2 linked regions of the Elephas maximus indicus genome follow. The protein of the gene in region 1 interacts with the protein of each later gene in a pairwise test. Links are inferred from orthologs where the notes say so. Each region holds a gene or a part of one and is shown in the gene's direction. Other genes may lie near its edges.

What was found.
Region 2: the proteins of LMO1 (region 1) and PTPN3 interact in binary tests that used the Homo sapiens proteins (3 or more experiments, as listed by UniProt). The two-hybrid records come from large-scale screens. The link is inferred for Elephas maximus indicus from reciprocal best matches to the Homo sapiens genes LMO1 and PTPN3.

The regions. Positions count from the first base shown.
Region 1 is NC_064825.1:63,481,713-63,493,182, reverse strand, and holds the start of LMO1 (rhombotin-1), read left to right. Parts: upstream 1-6,858; 5' UTR 6,859-6,873; coding exon 6,874-6,895; intron 6,896-11,470. UniProt on the Homo sapiens protein: May be involved in gene regulation within neural lineage cells potentially by direct DNA binding or by binding to other transcription factors.
Region 2 is NC_064827.1:59,011,827-59,022,971, reverse strand, and holds the start of PTPN3 (tyrosine-protein phosphatase non-receptor type 3), read left to right. Parts: upstream 1-6,013; 5' UTR 6,014-6,133; coding exon 6,134-6,182; intron 6,183-11,145.

The DNA.
Region 1 (11,470 bases):
CTGCCACTAATCCCACCCCATTAACATCATAGAGGTAGGATTTACAACACATAAGGAAATCACATCAGATGACAAAATGGTGGACAATCATACAATACTGGGAATCATGGACTAGCCAAGTTGATAGATATTTTGGGGGGACACAATTCAATCCATAACAAATAGTGATGATAGTGAATATCCTATTGTGTTCCCAATTTGTGGAACAGGCCTCAGAATGTCATTGTCTACATATTTGCTGTTGGATTTGGGTGAATAGTCTATACCAGATTGAAGTAGTTTTCTTCTATTTTTGTTTTGCTTAAGATTTTATGAGCAATATATACTAAATTTTATTGAGTGACTTTTTGGCATCTATAATCATATTTTATCCTCTTTATTTGTTGATATAATGACTTATGTTGATAGATTTCCTGGTGGATGTTGAATCACGTTTGTGGTGTTTAAAATCAATGCTCCTTTGTCATGGTGTATTACTCTTTGATACTCTTCCCATATCCAGTTAGTGAATATTTTATTTCAGATTTTGTATTCATATTCAAACTATGATTCCTTTTCTTCTTTCTTTCTTTTTAAATTCAATCTTTATAATGTTTGAGAGTTAAAGAAAATGCTAGCTCACAAAATGAACCAAAAAGCTTCCCAACTTTTTCTCATTCTGGAATAGTTTAAATAACATTAGAATCATCTGTTTTTAAAAATTATATAAAACTTATTTTTAATATAGTTTGTGCCTTTGCTATTTTAATGAAGAGTTTTAATTTCTTATCAAATCTCTTCTGCATATTGACCTATTCCAGGTTTCACCTTCTTCTGTGTCCAATTTTGGTAGTTTTCTTCTTTGCTTGGAGACCGTCCATTTCCTCTAGGTTTTCAAGTTTATTTTCGTAGGATTACAAATATTATTGTCGCAGTTCTTTAATCTTTTTCTGTACCTGTAATTTAGCTCTTTTCTTCTCCCTATTAATGGATATTTTGCTTTCCATCTTCTTTTTTTTTTTAACCAGATTTGCCTGGAAGGGTGACTATTTTGTTTGTGTTTTCAAAGAGCCAGCTTTTGGTTTTAATTTGTTTATTATTATTTTCTATTTCATTAGTTTCTGATTTTAACCTAATTAATTTCTTCCTACTTTCTTTTGGTTTATTTTGTTCTTTACCCATTGCTTTATTTTCAATCTCTTTTGTCGCCTTGTTTTGGGAGTGTTTCTTATAAACAGCATTTGGTTGCATTCTTGTTTTTTTAAGCTCTGACAATGTGTCTTTTGACAGGGAAATTCAGTCTTTGCACATTTATCGTAGTATACTAATATACTTAGTTTTACTTATTCCGGCTTATTTATATTATTTATTTATTTATTGTTTCTCCCCCCCTCCCCCTTTTTTCTTTTAGCTTTTTCTGACTTGATTGAAATTGTGCTTTACTCCCAGATTTCTGGCATTCAGAACTGGGTGGCTGGCTTACTGAGACAAAATGAAGAAAGATTTGGGAGGAAATATCAGGAGTTCAGTTTTGGATTTTAAAAGTTAAGATACCATGGAGACATCCAAGTGGAGATGTCAGATGGGCAGTTGGAAGTATTGGTGTAGAACTCAGAGGAGAGATCCTGAGTGATGGTCAGACACGGCCTGACAGCTGTGGATGGCATCCCAGGGAACAGTGTTCCAAGAAGGCCTAGCACCCATTCCCAAGGACTGCCAACTGCTAAAGGTTAGATGAAAGAGGAGAAGCTGGCAATAAAGACCAATAGGAATGTCCAGAAAGGTGGGAGGAAAACCCAGAGAATGTGTTAATCTGTCATTGTTAATTGCCATCAAGTCGATTCCAACTCATGGCAACCCCATGTGTGCAGAGTAGAACTGTCCTCCATAGGGTTTTCATGGCTGTGACTTTTCAGAAGCAGACCACCAGGCCTGTCTTCTAAGGTGCCTCTGGGTGGGTTTCAACCACTAACCTTTCAGTTAGTAGTCCAGCGCTTAACCATTTGTGCTTCCCAGGACTCCTTATGTGTTAGTCTGAGGAAGAAAAATGTTCAAGAAGGAAGGAAGGCCCAACTGCATTAAATGCTGAGAGCCTAGGCAAGGTGAGACCTGAAAATAGTCCTTTAACTGCATCAAGATCATTGGTATCCTTGATTAACCTTGTGAAGGTTGAAGACAGATAGGAATCGGTAAGGAGAGAATGGGAAGCAAGAAAGCATGGCAATAAAGGAGAGTAGAAAGCAAGGCATCTCCGGGAAGATGTAGGGTCCTGGGAGCTTGTTTCCTTGCTTTGGATCAGATATCAGAGTTTGTTTGTTGGCTATTGTGAAAGGTCTAGCAGAATGAGGCTATTGAAGATGGGGGGAGAGTCAATGGGATGCCTTGAAAGGTGGAAGCCAAGGGACCAGAGCACACACTGAGGGATCAGGCCAGGGTAGAAGGAAGGACATTTTCTCCAACGTTCAGGAGAGAAGGGGAATGTGACTGTATGCTTGTTGTAGATGCTGCAGGTGAAGGTAGGAGCCTAGACCTGGAGGCAGAAGGAAGGGGGCCTTCTTGCCTTATGCCTTCTCATATCTCATCTGCTGAGACTGGAACGGGTAAGGGGATCAAAGGGCTAGGGAGAAGAGAAATGAAACAGTAGTTCAGGAGCAATGGAGAGCAAGCGTGGCTTCAGAAGACTCTCCAGGTAGGGAAAGGCAGTGGGAGCAAAGCGTTTAGTGTCTGACATTCACACTGTGCCCTTTGCATCTCCTACTGAGCTCCATTACCACCAGGCAAGGCCGGTGATGGGGCTGCTTCCCCACTATTGTTCTGGTTCATTTTTGCTCATATGACCTTTCTCTTCATGCCTAGCATTCAGCTAAGACAGGTTGGAACAGAAAGGTCATAGAAAAGTACCCAATCTCACACATTTACAACAATTAAACCCAAATTGTGATGCTCTGATTCCTGACTCAGGATCCTCCTCTCCAAAAAGTTATGAAACCTTCCAGGAATGCTTATACGTATAACCCAAGTACCCTCTGGAGGCCACTAGATTTTGAGTTCTGAATGAAGTCATTTTGTCTATGATAATCACAAAATTGAGAGGTGGGGGTTGATGGGTTGAGGGTATAAATGCCACCCATATCATTACAGCTGCTGCCTGCTGCTCTCTCCATCTTGCTTGACTGTCGTCCATTCTATCCACAAGCTGCTGCCAACCCCACCCAGCTGCTGACCCTTGCTGCTCTTTTCCTTCTCATCCCAGCAGAGAGATACCATTTGCTTCTAGTGACCAGCTCTTTCAGGGCTTCTGTAACCAAGCTGTAGGGCCCCTAGTGACCCATTTCCTTGTTTATACCACTGCCCTCTTAGAGCACTGATAGGGAGTGGGCCAGACCCATTCTTGTGCTATACATTAAACTGTTGGTCCCTCCAAATGCCAGGCCACGCTGCTCAGTCTAGCTCACCCAAGGGGCTCTCCTCTCAGAAATCTCATTTTCCTCCTCCAGCATGGCCTTCACTGGGAACCTCAGTCCTTATGATAGATCTGTCCATGTCTGAGTCCTAGCTGTGGACTGAGTTCAGTGGGCTTAGCGCCCCATTTATATTCCGGAATGGGGCTGGGCATCTATTTCAGTGTCCCTGACCACACCATGATGGTTGAGCTCTCTGAAATTTATCTTTCTGTATGAAAACCAGGAGGCTGGTCTTTCAAGAGACCCCACAGGCCCTTGATAGGAGTGAGGGTGGGGCAAGGGAGGCTGGGTGCTTGCCTGTCAGGCTGACCTCTCCCAGTGTGAACTCTGGACAATCCAACATACCCAATTGCAGGGCTGTGCTAGCTCATATGGAACCTCTGTGCAAATTAGCAAGTGGTGCCCTCTCTGGGTGGTGCAGCTCATGCCAGGACACATGGCTTGGAGAGCAGAGAGATGACAGAATTTCAGTCCCCACTTGCCCCTTTGGCCAGATGCTTTAGGGCAGGGAACAGCTGGCACATATCCAGGCAGTAGCCCTGCCCAGCTACACAGAGAACTAAACAGAGAGAATGTGGAGATGCTCTAGAGGGAGGCTAGCTCCTGGACTCTAGTTCCATGCCATCTATCTGGGATCTGGAAAGAAAGATGTTGCTCTAGGAGTCTGTCTTTCTGAGCCTCCATTCTTCTGGGGAAGCCATGAGGCTGCAGCCCAGAAAAGTAGGGTTCCCTCCTCTGCCTCCTCAGCTCCCATTTCCTCTGTGTAGCTGGGCAGTGTAGGCTCCTGACACTGCCACATCTGTCATCCTCTCCAGAGGAAAACTGAAACCCTGTTCCCAGGAGCTGACCTTATCTCCAGATCTCAATGAAATAATCCATGCACCATTCAGCAACCCCAGATTTTACACAGAGACACCCACTTAGGGGAATCGGGAAGAGAGTTGTGTCCCTACAAGATTTTGAGAGGTGGGGAGGTCTTTTTAAGAAGAGATGCCATGAGAAGAATTGCTGGAGCAAGAACCTGCAGGATGTGTTCAATTACGTTTGTTGTTTTTGAGAGTTGCTGTAAAGTCAATCCCAACTCATGGTGACCCTGTGAGCAGAGCAGAACTGCTCTGTAGAGTTTTCAAGGCTGTGACCTTTCAGAAGCAGATCACCAGGCCTGTCTTCTGAGGCACCTCTGGGTAGGTTTGAACTGCCAACCTTTTGGCTTGTAGTCAAGCGCTCAACCATTTGTGCCACCCAGGGACTCCCTCAATTACATTAAAGGGCCTAAAATAATAAAGTAAGCAGTTAGGACAATAGGGAGCCATGAGAGAGTTTTGATCAGAAGAATATCAGGGTCAAATCTTGGCACCAAGAAGATGATTCTAGTGACCTCTGCAGGATGGAGGACTTGCCATACCTGGGCAGGGCATGTCATGTCTGTACTCCATGCTGGTGGGAAATTGAAAGCAGACAATTTGGGAGATCATTCAAAAGGGCACCTCTGAACACCACCCCGCCTTTCCTCAGTAAATTGAATTCATTCAATCATTTCATAAACTTTTCCAGATACCAACTGTGTGGGTCCAAGTGCAAGGATGGAGGAGGACAGGGGAGATCAGGGTAAGAGCTCCCCCCCCGCCCCGCCCAACCAAGAGCCTTCTCTTCACACCTATCAGAAAATATTTTGATAAGTGTGGGGGGGGGGGGGTGGGGACAGCATAAGGGTGACTAACTGCGCCTCCCCCACCAATTAAATTTTAAAAAGCTGCTATGGAAGGAGCGAATATTAGTTTCCTGATTTATAAAGCCAAATGGATTAAGCTCATTCATTGCCCGAGGAAACAAAAAGGAAATCTTCAATACCTCTGTGCACATTGAGAACAGGAACAATACCGGTCTTTAGAAACCAGAAACCTAATTTGAGGGAATCAATTACCCTCTGTGTCCCTGCCTCTGTGGGCTCTCTCAACAGAGATTTCCTGGGAGGTAAAATGTGGAGAAATTGGTCAACCATAGGCACACCCTCCTTACAGCCTTGCAAACTGGAGGTGAAGAACTAGATGTAGGGTGGGTGGAGTTGGGGGGCACTCTTGGGTGTCAGACACATGTGGAAATATGTGGGGGGGATAATTTGGGGTAAAAGGGGAGAGTGGGAGCAATATAGTGAGAAGGCAAAGGAAGAGGGAGATGGGAACCTAGGGTTTATAACTGGGGAACCGGGCAGGCAAACTCCAGCCAGTGCACAAACAGGTGTTAGAGAGGGTCGGATTGGGAGTTGTTGGAGTCCTTTATCTTCAGAGGGTTGAGCCCCTCTGTGCCCCAGTCTGGTTCCAGCACCACCCACAGTCTCCTGATTCTTCCTGGTTTCTCTGTTGTGGTCTGCACTTTTCATGGTGGGTTTGGACATGCAGCAGGCAGTGGTGAGGGCAATAAAGTAAAAAGAAAAAGATGGGGGCGCCTGCCATAGTAGCCACAGGGTCGTACAAAGTCACACCCAAGCGCTCTCACAACCTCATACACATTTCAATGCTGGGTCTCAAACCCTGGCCCACAGCCCCTAGACCCTCAGCCACACCCAGCCTGATGAGCTTATAGGGCCCCTCACAATCACATGCCCTGTCTCACACTCACAAGGGCACTGTCACATACTCAAAACTACACACTCCCACACTTTCAACTGAAATCACAACCATTCGGCCAACCCGCTCTCCCCGCCCCCCCAGTATTACCCTCAGCTCACACAGTCGCTCACCACCCCACACAGCCCCTCACACTGGCATGTGGTCACACACACATACGGTCCCTCACACGCACACACTCTGGCTGTGCTTTTGTGTTTTGTCAGAATTAATGAGAAAAGTTCCCGTGCCCTGCGGGTAATTAGTGTCCTTGGAGTTAAATAAGCTAATGGCGGGCACCTCTGGCCCAAGCAATTATGTTTGTGTATTGAATAATTGATTCAAAGGGGGGGGGGAAGGGCCGCTAATCAGATCTGAGCATAATGAATTGATTTAATTAACAGGGGAATCTGAGGGGCCCTGGGAAATGCAGGCTTCACTCTTCTGAAGAGAACGCGGCCAGCGCGGCGAAAACGGGTGCGTGGCTGCAGCTCCGGCTCCTGCCCGGCCCGGCCAGCGGCGGCTCCGCGAAGGCTCCCGCAGCATCTCCCGCCCGGTGCCGGCAGCAGCTGCTCCCGCAGCTCCGGCGATCCCGGCCCGGCAGCCCCGCCGCGTCTCCTCGTGCGGCTGCGCCTCCCCTCCGCGCCGCGACAGCGCGTCTTCCCTCTCTCACTCCCTGCCCAGCGAGCTGCGCTCCGGGCGCCCGGGCGCCCGCACTGGTCCGCGGCCGCCGCTCGCGGAGCGCGGAGCCCGCGCGGGGCCGGAGAAGCAGCGCAGCCCTTCCGCGTCCTCGGCCCGGGCCTTGCTGGAGCTGCTGGGGGACCATGGTGTTGGACCAGGAAGACGGTAGGTGCCCGACGCGCTGCGCCGGTGCCTGGAGGCGCGTGGGGAGCGGAGCGGACACGCAGCCCGCGGCGGCTGGGCCCCCGAGCCCGCTTTGGCCTCCTCTGGTCGGTTTAGCTGATTCCCGGAAGCACGGCGGCTGCTGTGTGTGTGCGCGCGCGTGTGTTTGTGTGTGTGTCTCCAGGGGTGCCAGGCTCAGCCTCCGGGGTTCCTCAGAGGCATTAGGAAGTCTCACGGGCCACCTCGAGCCCTCCAGCTCAGCATGCTCCGGCCGCGAACTTTCTCACTGGCTCTTGCCGCCTTGCAGGCACCAGGAGCGACCCTTAGCCCGCGCCGCGGGCTCCGCGGCAGTGTCGGTCTCCCTGTCTTCTCGAGTACCTGCACTTCCCTCTTAGGCACCGGACTGCAGAGCCAGTCCTCCAGGGGGTGCCCAGAAAACCAAGCCAGTATTGTCCTGGGATCCCTCGGGTCTGGGATTTCATAGCTGCGGGACCGGTTACATCGCTTCCGCCCCTGGCAGGGCTGAGGAGAACGCGATCGGGTCACCTAGCCCAGGGTTTTGGCAGATGCTGCGCTGACCAGAGTAGGTGGGTGGGCCATATAGTCCAAAATATCAGGTTCAATCAGAGGCGGATTTACCTTGAAGCTAATGAAATTTAAGCTTCAGGGCCCTTCAGCTGCTGGGTCCCTGGCCGTAGTTTTGTATCAGTGATCTTGTATGAGTTGGAATCGACTCTACGGCAGTTTTTTTTTTTTTTTTAACCTTGTATTAAGGAGACCTGGTGGCGTAGTGATTAAGAAGTCGGCTGCTAACTGAAAGGTCGGCGGTTCAAACGCACCAGCCGCTGTGAGGGAGAAAGATGCTGCAGTCAGCTTCCCCAAAGATTACAGCCTTGGAAACCCTTTGGAGCAGTTTCACTCTGTTCTGTAGGGTTGGAATCGACTAGAGAGCAATGGGTTTGGTTTGGTTTGATTTCGTTGATCGTGTGTTGCGTTTCTTCAAGGAAAAAAAAAAATTGCCCTGGAGTCGATACCGGCTCATAGCGACCCTACAGGCCAGAGTAGAACTGCCCCCATAGGGCTTCCAAGGAGCAGCTGGTGGATTTGAACTGCTGACGTTTTGGTTAAAAAAAAAAAAAAAAAAAAAGACTACCAAATTACATAAGTAAGCTTCCATACTCAGAAAATCTAGATCCAACCCTGGGTTTAACTCACACTGTCCCCATTCCAATTGCCCCTGTTTAAGGGGAACTCCCAACCCTGACTGATCTGTGGACAGTCCCCAGGGGCTAGGACAGTCCATTAATACAGAATGAAGCTGCTAGGGCAGGAGGCAGCTACTGATCTGCACAGGGAAAGGGCCTGGCTGCCTGGACTTCCTCTCTGGCCCCACTAATCCCTTGTTCCACTGCCCTACCTACCCATTATGGTGATTAATTGTCCTGGTTTGCCTGAGAGTGTCCTGGTGTTAGCACTGAAAGCCCTGCGTCCTGAGAAACTTCTCAGTCCTGGGGCAAAGTGGAACAGTTGATCACTCTACATGAATAGCCTTCTCAGGACCGGCATGCAGGCTAGATTAGCCATCATGGGGGAGACTTGTTTGCTTGGGTACAGAATTGATTTAGGCCTCCATGAGACCTAACAGTTTATGACCACAGCTTCTGAAAAGGCCTGTCCCAGGCCCCCCAGAAACCTAAAGGGGAAAAGTCTTCCAACTGTGCACTTCTCCACTCTAAACAAACAAACAAAAAAAAAAAAAAAAACAAAAACCAAACCAAACCCATTGCCATCAAGTCAATTCCAACTCATAGCAACTGTATAGGACAGAGAACTGCCCCACAGAGTTTCCAAGGAGCACCTGGTAGATGTGAACTGCCAGCCTCTTGGTTAGCAGCCATAGCATTTAACCACAATACCACCAGGGTTTCCTTCTCCACTCCAGCTGGTTGTAAATTCCTGTGCATCAGCTGCATTTGCGTGAGCAGGAGGCAGGGCAGCACACCTGAACTTGGCCAGGAGGCCTCCTGATTGCTGACAAAGTATATAGGATCACTCTGTCATGTCAATTGTGGCAACCACAGCGAAGGGGCACTTGTCACCCTGACTACTTCTCTGTGAGGTCAGTTTGGAGACAGCTGCACTGTGTTGGGAGCAGGGCCCTCAGGCTGAGGCACATCTGACAGCTTCCATCTCAGAGTTCTGGAATATTTGGTCTGCCCAGGTCTTCAGGCACTGAGTCCCATTCCCTGTACCCTCCCCACCCCCAGTGTAGGAACCCTTCCTTAGGACTTTCCTGCCAGGTGCAGCGACAAACTGCTGGGTCTTACCTAGAAGTTTGTAAGGCAGCCCGTAGCACCCCCTTTTGTCTCACTGTGACCTTGGGTGCTGATCAACTGGCCTCGGCTGCTGTCTCCAGAGGCATTTCAAGAGCATTTTGGAGCACTCTTGGCATTGTTGAACTGAGTACGTGCTCATCACCTGTGGAATGTGTTGGGCAAAATTACCTCCCTCAGCCCCAGGGGAGCTGGGTATTCCTCCCTGGTGTGGGAGGCATGTCTTTGGACTTGAAGGCATCTTGGGTGTGGGTGAGCATGGGGGTGGGATACCTGCCTGCCTAACAACCACCCTCCAGCTGAAGGGAGGTCACCAGATGAGTGTGGCTCATGACTGCTCCATCAACCCAGCAGGTCCCTTCCTGGCTTAGAGCTCAAGCCACCCAAACCCTCCAGGTCTTGCTGGTCAGCTTTGTAACTTAGCTGTGGAGGCCCTTCTCCAGATTGACTTCGAGTGCAGAGAGAACAGCCGTTGGGCACAGCAGCCCTTTACACACAGCACCAATCCCCTTTTGACATCCCCTACTGGCCTCTGCAGCCCACTGCTCAGTAATCCACATTGCTCGGGGCACAAGGTGTCCTGACTCTCCATGGGGATGCCAGCTGCATGGCTGCTAACTGGGTACTTTGGAGGCTGGCAGGAACTAGTGTTAGGACGAACAGTCCTGGGCACAACACCTGAGCAAGAGAGTGGGAAAACAGCTCCACGTTGTCAAGTCCTGGTTTGTGGGTCAGGGCCAGACCCCAAAAGTGAGGAGAAGCGGTCCCTGGGGGTTGGGAGTCAGTTTGCAACCCTTCTGGAGTGAATGCCCCCAGGTAGCTTGAAGGTTTCTGCAGAAAGAAGCTGCCCCTTGCTGACCTGTCAGGCACTGTGCTTGCTACACTGTCTTGTCCCCAGCAGGCTGGGGTGAGGGGCTGGCACGAAATGTGCCAGTGGCAGCACTGGTGGCCTGATGGCAATGCCAAAGCCTCCGTCGGACCCTCAGGCTATGACTCCGCCTGCAGTGGCAAGGGACAGATCAAGCCCACAGTCCTGAGGGATGGCGAGTCTGTGCAAAATGATATATTTAACATCAAATATACTCAAGGACTATTAGGATTAAGTATTCAAGATGAAGGGGAAAACGAAACCCTCTGAGCTTCGGATGAAGCATCTCATTAGAAGCAGCCTCTGTTCTGTTTTCTCAAAGCTTGACATCTCTGCCTAGGACAGAGGAGGCTGGGCTGCAGCCCCCCCCCCATAAGCACACCCTGCCTTGGGGCCTTCCAGGGTTTAAGGGGCAAGCCCCAGCCTCCAGGTCTCCTTTGTACCCAATAATCCCCCCATTGTCCAGGGTGCCACAGTTTACAGACCACATTCACATGCTTTATCTCATCTCATCCTCACAGCAAACTTGGGGACAGGCAGAGAAGGTCTCCCACTTCACAAGCAGGGAAACTGAGGCTCAGAGAGAGAAAGTGGGTTGCCAAGGTCCACTGTCGGTAATTGGCAGAGATGAGAGTCCCAGCTCGTGGCCCTGCATCCCTCCAGGAACTTCAGCTTCCCCCTCCTTGCCTGGGTCTAGTCCTCAGAAGTGACTGCCGGGACTCAGCCTCCAACACAGCTGCCTGGAGCCCTCCTCGGGCTGGAGAAAAATCATTAAGATTTCCATCCTAGCACTCTGTACTGTCAAGGGGGGAAAAAAAACCTCTTGGAATTTGAAAGTGGATGGCCTTCCTGGAGTAGGCGATCAGCGCTGGGGCTCTGGGGAGAAGCAGGGCCCAGGAGTGAAGGATGTGAACACTGTTGCCACTCCAGCCCCCTAAATTACAGAGCAAGAATTGAAGAATTGTCAACTCTGTAATAGCAGCAGGAGTCTCTGTTTTATTCTCTGCCATATTTCCAGTGCCTAGAACAGTGTTTGGCACATAATACATGCTCAATAATTATTTGTGGAATGAGAAAAGCCTTCTCTCCATGGAAGCAGGATGCTCTTGGAGGGCTGCTGGGGTCAGGAGTAGCGCTGTAAGACTCAGGGCGGTAGGGTGGCTGTGCCCTGCAGAGGATTAGCTTTGCCACACAATCCGGGAAGCAGCCAGAAACCCTAGGCAGAGCAGGTACGAAGGGAGAGGACGGGTCAGAGAAAGACAGCCAAAGGGCGGTGGGGGTGTGCAGAAAGCGAGGTTGAAGGCCTGGGAGTAACAGACCCGGCTTGTTCACCAGACAGACGTGCAAGATCCCGGACCCCAGGACCAGAACGCGCTG
Region 2 (11,145 bases), on another chromosome or scaffold:
AAAAATCTTAAAAATCTTGACAGGAGCTAGAGAAAAACTATAGCATGACTACTATTCTCATCAGAAACCCTGGAGGCCAAAAGGCAATTAAACATGGTCTTGTAAGCACTGAAAGAAAAAAACTATCAACCCAAAAGAATTCTACTATACCCAGTGAAAATATCTTACAGGAATGATGGTAAAATAATGGCATACTTAAATAAAAGAAATCTAAGAGAATTTGTCTCCAGCAGACAGACTCTAAAACACATGCTAAAGGGAAATCTTTAGGCTGAAGGGAAATGATAGAGGGACACTTGGAACTTCAGGAATAAAAGGAAAGCAACAAAAAATGGTAAATATATAGGTAAACAGAGAAGACTATTTTTCTCCTCTTAAGCTCTTTAAATGCAGATGACTGTTGAAAACAAAAAAATACAGATTGTAAGGTGGCGTTTTCAATGTATGTGGTGTAACACATACGCTACTTATAATGTAAAGGGGGAAGGGTAGAGGAACCTAAAAGACTGTAAGGTATCTGTATTTTATCTGAAGTAGTAAAAGATTAACTCTAAGTAGACTGTAAAAGTTTAGGCATGTATGTCGTAATCCCTAGAGCAAACAGTACATATATATATATATATATATATATATATATATATATATGCCAAAAGCCAATAGATAAATTAAAACAGGATACTAAAAATATTTAAACAATTCAAAAGAAGGCAAGAAAGGGGGAACAGAAGAACAAAACATAGAGAAGACCAACAGAAAATAATAAAAGGATAGACCTAAATTTGAACATACCAATAATCACATAAAATTTAACAGTCTAACACACCAATTAAAATATATAATACAGAGATGTTGTAAAAAAAATAAAATACAGAAGTATACAGCAGAAAGGGAGCAGCTCCTGTAATAACCCAACACCCACGTCCATGAAAGACATAAAAAATTCTTCCATATTTTCCTACTATCTTACCATCATATTGATATTTATATAGGAAAAGAATGGAAGAATTCTTTCATGCCATGTACTAGCTCGTAATCAGGAAAACAGTACCAAAGGCTTCTTGTGCTCGCCATTTGACAGGTACAGACATGTTTTTCTTCATCAGTAACCCAGATCTCCCAGGAGTCTGTGTGGCTGACAGCACACTAGCCCTTTGGAACTAGACTTGATCCCAGTGCTGTTAGAAAACAATGCCTTCAGCTCCCTCCACCCCACCACCGCTCTTGGTTCTCCCTCACTGCTGGCAGCAGGGGGCCTTTACCACCACCTTATCAAAGAATCAACAAATCATGGTTCTGGGGTTTAGACTTTGAGCCTTTTTTCCATTAACTGGCTGCTCCTCCATTACTGCTTTTAGAAGGGAAATGGTTTTAGTTATTTGAATATTCCTCTTAATTGAATTATGAAGAAAGCAAGAATTTATTCCACTTATGCATGGGAAGAACACAGGACTTGATACCAAAGATCAGATTTAAATCACAGCTCTCTCACTCACTTGGGCAGGTTATTTTACTCTCTGGACCTCAGTTCCCTCATGTGTAAAATGGTTTGACAGGATCAAAAAATATACTTGCAAATAGTAATATTTCTTCACCTTCTCCATCCAATAAGGAAAATTCTGTCTTTGCTTCCTTGTGCTTTCCCTCTTCTTCCCCCATCATCCCATCGTCCTACCTCCAGCATGCTAAGGATGGTCTGTTTTTATCAGATTGCCTCCCAGACCTACGTTATGCAGAACAAGGTAATATTTAGATTTATGTTGACAAGAACAGGGGCTAATGGGCTGAAGGAAGAAGACAGAGAAAACTGAAACATGAAACAATGGAGAATATTTATAAAAGGCCTATGCTTGCTCAATTTGAGAGATTTGGGGTGGAAGTTTGGCGTGGGCAATGAGAAACTTTGATGTGAGATAGCTAAACAGAGGAAGGGTGGGAGATGGATGGATGGACGGACAGATGGACGGATAGATGAGTAGATGTTGTGTGCTGTTGAGTCGATTCCAACTCACGGTAATCTTACAGGACAGAGTAGAACTGCCCCATAGGCTTTCCTAGTCTGAAATCTTTACAGGATCAGATCACCTGGTCTTTTCTCCCACAGGGCAGCTGGTGGGTTCTAACCACCGTCCTTTTGGTTAGCAGATAAGCACTTAACCATTGTACCGCCAGGGATAGATAGATAGATGTTGTTGTTGTTAGGTGCCACAGAGTCAGGTCCAACTGATAGTGACCCCATGCACAACAGAACAAAACACTGCCCAGTCCTGCGCCACCCACACAATCGTTGTTATGCTTGAGTCCATTGCGGCAGTCAATGTGTTAATCCATCTCCTTGAGAGTCTTCCTCTTTTTTCTCTGACCCTCTACTTTACCAAGCATGATGTCCTTCTCCAGGGACTGGTCCCTCCTGAAAACATGTCCAAAGTATGTGAGACATAGCCTCACCATCCTTGCTTCTGAGGAGCATTCTGGATGTACTTCTTCCACGACAGATTTGTTTGTTCTTTTGGTAGTCTGTGATAGTCAATATTCTTCACCAACACCACAATTCAGAGGTGTCAATTTTTCTTCAGTCTTCCTTATTTATCGTCCAGTTTTCACATGCATATGAGGCAATCGAAAACACCATGGCTTGAGTCAGGCACATCTTATTCTTCAAGGTGACATCTTTAAAGAGGTCTTTTGCAGCAGATTTGCCCGACACAATGCGTCTTTTGATTTCTTGACTGCTGCTTCCATGGTGTTGATTGTGGATCCAAGTAAAATGTATAGATAGAGAGCAAAAGAGAGAGAGGATACAAATAGGAAGTAGAAGGAAGAATAAAATAAAATAAAATTAAAAAACCAGCTGCCGCCAAGTCAAATCCGACTCATGGTGACTCCATGTGTGTTACAGAGTAGAGCTTCTCGGTAGGGTTTTCTTGGCTGTAATCTTTACAGAAGTAGATCAGCAGGCCTTTCTTCCATGGTACCACTCAGTGGGTTCAAACCATTAACCTTTCAGTTAGTACTTGAGGGCAAACTGCACCATCTCGGGACCTTGAGGGAAAAACAGGAGAGAGAAAAGAGAAGATGAAAGAAGAGGAAGGGATTTGCTTTAACCGATGAACATATTCTCTTCTAGGGTTTTCCATTTAGTGAGAGACAAGAGTGGAGCCCTGGTGGTGCAGTAGTTAAGAATTTGGCTGCTAACCAAAACGTTGGCAGTTTGAATCCACCAACTGCTCCTTGGAAGCCCCATGGGGCAGTTCTGCTCTCTCCTATAGGGTCACTATGAGTTGGAATCAACTGGACAGCAATGGGTTTGGTTTGGTTTCTGAGAGAAATAAAAGCTCAAATGGTCTTTGCGATGCCAGATTGATGTTTCTCAGCACACTGTGGTACCTAGAAGAGGCCAATAAGTAACGCTGACTTTATACGGGCCACATGGGGTTAACCCTCTTATCTCTCACTGAAGCTGAGAGGGTCCAATGAAATTACAGATGTAAAAATTTAATTGTGTTATTATTATGTTACCTTTGGCTTTCCACTTGGATCTTAGTTCAGGTAAGTTACTCAAAGTCATAAGCACCAAGCAGCTTGAATAACAGAGATGTAGAATTGTGAAATCTTTGCTTAGGTCTTTGAGAAAGGCTCAAGTGCTCCTTAACATCCTTCCAATCAGCCAGCACCACTACACTGGTTTAGATAGTACACACATCTCTTAGCCTGCATTCCATGTTAGGACCAACCTGTTTGTTTCTCTGCCTCTTTCACTAGATTGTAAACTACGTGAGCAAAAGATCTTACTTACTTGTCTCTCTATTCTCCGCATAGCAGGGAGTGTGAAACACGTTGGGCACGTAAATTGGGATAATATTGAGATAATCTCTCTCTCTTTCTCTTTCACACACACACACACACACACACTGGTACTTGTACCTCGTGGCTCTTTCCCCAGTCTAGACAGCCAAGGCATCCCAACTTCACTGCTTCAGAGAAGGGAGGCATGGCAAAACAAAGAGAATAAAACCAGTTAACTCTTAGCTTTCGGTCTTCAAAAAATGAGCTCCTGATACAAACAATAGATTTGGATGGATACTTGTTGGACCAACCCCTCCATCCCACCCCCAACCCAGAGGAAATAAAAATAACCTGCGCTAGAGGAGAGGAGAGCTAGAGAAGACAGCAAGACAGATGACGGTAAGTGCCCCAGAGAAAGCTCCTGCACCTTGTCCTCTCTTCTTTGGGTTAAAGCCAGGGGTGAGGGTATCTGGTTGTGGCTAAGGAGATTAGAAACCCCATGCCGATTTGGTAGATCCTAGAGTAAATGAAAAAGAGTCCTGGTGGCACAAACAGTTAAGCGCTCAGCTGTTAACCAAAAGGTTGGCAGTTCAAACCCACCCAGGGGCTCCATGGGAGAAAGACCTGTCAACCTGCTTCTGTAAATATTACAGCCAAGGAAACTATGGGGCAGTTCTACTCTGTCACATGGGGTCACGATGAGTCGGAATTGACCCAACAGCAAACAACGACAGCAGAGTAAAAGAAACCTGTGCCTTACTGTAGGTGATATTGAAAAGATGGGGGAAATGGGCTCTTCTGTGCATCCCCATACACAGTAGGATTGGAGACGGCAGCTTTAGAATTAAAACGGTGCCTGACAAAGCTAGACTGAGAGGGCCTGTGATAGCCCTGTGGAATTCCCGAGATTCCCTGAACTGCTCAGAAGAGCTGTCAAACATCTCCCACACACACAAAGAAGGCATAGAAGATAGCTGAAAGAGCCAACGGTTCTGCAGATGCTACGATATCAGAACAAAAATATCACAATAGATGTCAGAATTTAGAAAACACTGGGAGACCAACTGGGAATGCAGAACTCTCAGCAACTAAAAACCCGACAGCTAAAAGCCTGACTAGGTCGTGCTCAGAGGCCACACATTTCAACAGTAGTCAGGGTAGAAAGAAGACCACTGAACGCCAGATGCCTGCTCTATCCCAGTCATGCACACACACACACACTCCAAGGACTTGAACTTATACACAACCCTGGGGAGAAAGTGACATGGAGAAATCTCTGAACTGGCTCAGAAAATCTGGAATTAACTAAGTTTCTGCCACCAGGAGGAATGAGGACCCAAGAGAAAATGTAACAGAAGTTATAGAAAAATAAAGCTACCTTTGTTTCGCAGATCTGAATTTTGAACTGGAAAATTCATGCTCACTACAAATGTTTGATGATTGAGTAAACAAATAAAAAAATGGGAGGTGGGGGGAGCTCTGCTGCAGTAAGCCCTTGGTGCACCAGTTTTGGCTATTCCCCTAAAAAAAAAAAAAAAATTCCCCTAGGAAGACAATAATTACTGAAAAGAATATCTGCTTTCTAGTCCTTACTCAGCCACTTACTATCTGTGATTCCTTGAGTAGGTTGCAAGTCTCTTTAGACCTCAGTTTTCTTATCTGTAAAATGGGGATAATGATACCTTCCCTGACATCTTGACAATGTTATTGTGAGGGTCAAGTGAGACAGCATGTGTGAAGGTGCTTTATATGGGGTTATAATAAGAGCATGTGGATCACCCCTGCCTTGTGGTCCAAGGACTAACAGAAAAGTAGATGGACTCAGGGATCAAAGAATTCTGTGGTACTCTACTTGTCAACCAAAACGTTCTTCTAGAATGAACAAGGAACAGTGGCTAAGTTTTCCCTGCAACCACATCAGAGCTAACTGGAGGATATCAAGGGTTACACTCTCAGTATCAGCCCAGCACACTTCATCAGGAAGAAATTCTCTGGATCCAAAACAGATTTGTTTTCATTGTGAAATAGTCTATCTGCTGAGCAACAACAAATTAAGCTCTGGGTGACTGTTCCCGTAAAACACGTCCTGTGCTTTACACTGCTATTATGGGGTGGATAGGCATGGTAAAGAATCAATTAAAACTCTGACACATTAAATGGAGTTCGAAGACCTGTTTCGCAGGTTTCCCCAGAGGAGAATAATCATGTTACATTACACTTTGGAAGCCGATCGAGGCAAGATTTCGGAGACAAGTTCTGGGGTTTACAAGACAGACTTTAGCTTTTCTAAATCATTTTTGAAGTGTTGTTCACAGGATTACAGCATTCAGTTCACTAGGCCAACAGCATTATGGTGGAGCAAGGGGGATTATCATCATACGGGCATCCTCCGGAGAACTGTAAGTTCCCTTCAAATGCATTTAAAGAAATGATGGAAATATTGCAGTATTCATATTTACGGTCATTTTGAAATGAAAGCGAGTGTTAAGCAAGTAAAGCCAGATACTTAAACTGAATTTCTTTTTTAGTTTTATAATACGGTTCTACCACAAAAGGGGAAGTCATTGTTTAGGAACTCTCAAAAGAAGTTCTAGAATTTCTAGATGTTCTAGATGAGCCTCACAGTGAGCGAGAGGGTCAATAGTAGAATATGAATAATTTTGTGGTTATCGCTGCTTAAATTATGCTTCTATGACAGTAAGGAGGAATGTTAATGGTAAGAACAATGTGTTTTTTGGCTAACTCAGACATCTGTGTAAACCATCTTCAGTCTCATTGCCTAAATAACTTCTGTCTCTCAACATGAACAAGAAGAAAAAAAATTGAGGTTAAGGCAGTATATTTTCAGAAGTGTTGCCTACAAATGAGCTTCAGCAGAAATAAAGAATTGAACAGGAAAAAAGCCAGCCAAGCGTCAGCAATAATCATTGTTGAGGGACAAGTAAGGCTTGCAGACGCAATCCATGGGTCAGGAAATGGTTTGGGGGACTCAGCTAACCCCCAATTTTGAGGGCAAATGCAGAAGCAAAGAACTAGAGAGAAAAAAACACCATGAGGATGGAGTGTTAAAGACATGCTTTCAAGACATTTCCCCAGAAGAGAGAGACAGCAAGTATGAAAAGGAAACCCAGAGTGTAAAGACAAGACCAGTCCTGCCCATTCAAGTGCTCAGCTTCAGTAAAGAGCAGGACATTTGCAGTGGAAATGTTCTCATGGTGCAGGAATCTGTTCAGTTAGGAAACTAAAACAGTTTGACACTTCCATATGTGGATTCTGCCCACAACATCTTTTCAAGGATGAAAAGGTGAGAAGGGGCTAGTTAGATGGAGGCTGGGGATACCAGTTTTGTTTTTTTGCTTTAATTGTGCTTCAGGTGAAAGTTTACATCTCAAGTTAATTTCTCATTCAAAATTTATACACATATTGTTTTGTAACATTAGTTGCAATCCCCACAATGTGACAGCACACTCCCCCCCGCCCCGCCCCAGGTTCCCTGCGTCCATTCGACCAGTTCCTGTCCCTTCCTGCCTTCTCATCCTGCTTTTGGACAGGAGCTGCCCGTTTGGTCTCTTATATTTGACTGAACTATAAGCACACTCCTCATGTGTATTATTTTTTGTTTTATAATCCTAACCTTTGTCTGAAGAGTGGGCTTTGGGAATGGTTTCAGTTCTGGGTTAATAGTGCGTACAGGTACCATAGTTTTGTGAGTTCCTCCAGTCTCTGTCAGATCATTAAGTCTGGTCTTTTTAGGTGAATTTGAGTTTTGTTCTACATTTTTCTCCTGCTCTGTTCAGAACTCTCTGTTGTGTTCCCTGTCAGGGTGGTCATTGGTGGTAGCTGGGCACCATTTAGTTTTTCTGGTCTCAAGTTGGTGGAGTCTCTGGTTCATTTGGTCCTTTAGCCATTTGGGCTAATATTTTCCTTGTGTCTTTGGTTTTCTTCATTCTCCTTTGCTCTGAGTGGGATAGGACCAATTTATGTATGTTAGATGGCCACTCACAAGCTTTTAAGACCCCAGATGCCACTTACCAAAGTGGAATGTGGAACATTTTCTTAATAAACTATGTTAAGCCAATTGACCTAGATGGGGGGACACTAGTTTCAGCCCAGTGTACCTCTCACTATAATTTTCCAAAAAAGACATTTTGGATCTTTTCTTATTTAATTTGCCATCTAAATCCTTAAGGCCCTTTCAATTGCTTGGACAAAGTTATTGTATGTGTTTTTTATTTATTTATTTATTTTGCCAATTAATATGCAAGTGTGTCTGCTGATGCTTTCTTAATCTTTGTAGAACAAGGGCCCCTCAGGGTTACTGAAATTGTGCCAGGACCTTGAAGCCTTGTGGTGCTGCCAAGGTCCTTGGGTTTGTGCCTGCCCTGTACTCTGCTATCCCATCCCCACCAACTTTTTCACCTCAAATACACACTCCCACTACACTGGGATTTCTCCTGTCATTTCATACTAAAAATGTTTCCACTGCTTAAAGCCAACCAAAAAATTGAATATCATTAAAATATCCAAATTTCTCATTTGGCAGAAAGGGGAATTTAACTTCCAGGAGAATTTTAACAAGTTAGTTAAAGGTAAAAGAGCGATAGAATTCAGGTCTATGGATAACTAGTTCCACCATACCAGCCTTCCTTTGCCTTTTCCCAAAGGAGTTGGTAGGGTCTTCTTTACCTCACCTGCCTTCTATCTCAACTTAGCTCATTACTTGTCTTTCAAAGCTTTACCACATCCACCACATAGTCCTTAAGGATAAAGCTATAACCCCCTAAAGGTGTGCATCAGGGTTGTGTCCTTTTACCATACCTACTCAACCTACATGCTGAGCAAATAATCCAAGAAGCTGGATTATATGAAGAAGAAAGGGGCATCAGTATTGGAGGAAGACTCATTAACAACCAGTGATATGCAGATGACACAACTTTGCTAGCTGAAAGTGAAGAGGACTTGAAGCACTTACTAATGAAGATCAAACACCACAGCCTTCAGTATGGAGTACACCTCAACATAAAGAAAACAAAAATCCTCACAACTGGACCAATGAGCAACTTCATGATAAATGGAGAAAAGATTGAAGTTGCAAGGATTTCATTTTACTTGGACCTACAATCAACACCCATGGAAGCAACAGTCAAGAAATCAAAAGACGCATTGCATTGAGCAAATGTGCTGCGAAAGACCTCTTTAAAGTGTTGAGAAGCAAAGATGTCACCTTGAAGACTAAGGTGTGTTTGACCCAAGCCATGGTGTTTTCAGTAATCTCATATGCATGCGAAAGCTGGACAATAGATAAGGAAGACCAGAGAAGAAATGATGCCTTTAAACTGTGATGCTGGTGAAGAGTACTGAATATACCACAGACTGCCAAAAGAAGGAACAAATGTGTCTTGGAAGAAGTACAACCAGAATGCTCCTTAGAAGTAAGAATGGTGATACTACGTCTCACATACTTTGGACATATTATCAGGGGGCATCAGTTCCTAGAGAAGGACATCATGCTTGGTAAAGTAGAGGGTCAGTGAAAAAGAAGAAGACCCTCAACAAGATGGACTGACACAGTGGCTGCAATAATGGACTCGAGCATACCAACAATTGTGAGGATGGTGCAGGATCAGGCAGCATTTTGTTCTGTTGTACATAGGATCACTATGAGGCGGAACTGACTTGACAGCACTTAACAACAACGACCCCTCTGCAGTCAATCAAATCCCACAAACACCTACTGAGCACCTAGTCTCTGTAGCCCAGGTGCCAAAGATCCTCAGATGAATAAGATACAATATCTACTTTGGAATGTATATATATCCTGTTACAATTAAAGGCATAGTATAATTGTACTATAACAGAATTTTTTTTAATGTACCATGTTATTGGAACACAAGAGAAAGGTGAAGTGAAGGGATACAAAGAGGCTACAAGACAGCCAGGAAATAAGCCTATTGGATAAATTGAGGATCAGCTCATGCAAACCTGAAATGTCTTCAAACTTTATCCTGGGAGAAGTGGGAGAGCCTGTAAGAGTCTTTAAGCAGAAGGATGATTTTGATTAGATCTATGCTTCAGGCTGGACATTTTGACTGGAGAGTCAACAACAAAATGGAGGGTCTGAACCCATCCATGGTAACTGGACAAGTAGAGTCGGCTGGCCCAGTGACAGAGCATGAAGAATGAACCAGGATATAAAATACCTGCCTGATCAACTTTCAGTTAAGTAATTGTTATCATCTCTCTACTAAATTTGAACTCAAAAATATTGACTGGGATGAAAAATAGTAACCTTTTTTTTTTTTTTAACGATTTTAAAACAGCCTAAACCCATAATTTTGCACATCCTACCAGCTTTAGCATCCAACAGAGTTTTTAAAGTAAAATTAACCTGCTGCCTCTTTTTCTGAAGATTACTCATAAAGTCTTGTATTTGAACAAATTCTTCACCGAGGAAGTAAGCCTGTTTTTGAAGAGAACAAATTGCAGTCCAAAAATAGGTTCAGAAAAGGAAATATAATCCAAAATTAATACACTTATTTGTCTGGTCTTGATTTTGGCTACTATAGCATGTCAAGAAATAATGAGCACTGCAATTTTTTTTAAAGTACCCAATGGGATTAATTTGTACAGAGACTAAAAATTTGAATGAAAACCTGATCTGCTCTATTTAGTACTCATCTAAGTATTAAACTCAATGTAACCTGAGAGAACAATACAGAAACTATTAAGCCAAACTTCAGAGAATTCAAAATCTCTCTCTCTTGTAGTAAGTGTAGCTACAGTCAACTTCCCCTTGTCTTTATGGGGAGCCCAACCCTCTGGTTTGCCTAGGACTGAGCGGTTTCCTGGGACATGGGACCTTCAGTGCTAAATCCAGAACCATTGGTCACCTGGCTTTCACTTCCACCAAAACCCCTACCAAAATTTCCTTTTATATGTAGGATCTGTTTTGTTTGGGAAATAAAAATAACAGCAATGAAGATGAGGGAGGAAAACCAGGGCATTGTTTGGTATCCACAACACAGAAAGAAAGATATTCAAAAAACAAGAAGGCAAGTGAGTTCTCAAATGAGTTCTCAGACTCACAACTTCGAATCCACATGCCATGACAATGCTGCGGCTTTCAGGCAGGCTGTGAGGGAATTTTGTTTTTTGTTTTTTAACCTTCCAAAGCATTAACTCAGCAAATGCCTACTGAGGTCCTACCATGTGGAATCTCAGAGTCAAATGTTGAGGATCCAGACACGGAAATGTGCCATCTTGGCCTCAGCCGATGCTCCAGGCTAGACACCTACCAGAGGAAATGTACCCCGTGACAACCAAGCCTAACACAATGTAATTAGTAATTAGAGCTCCCAGCTT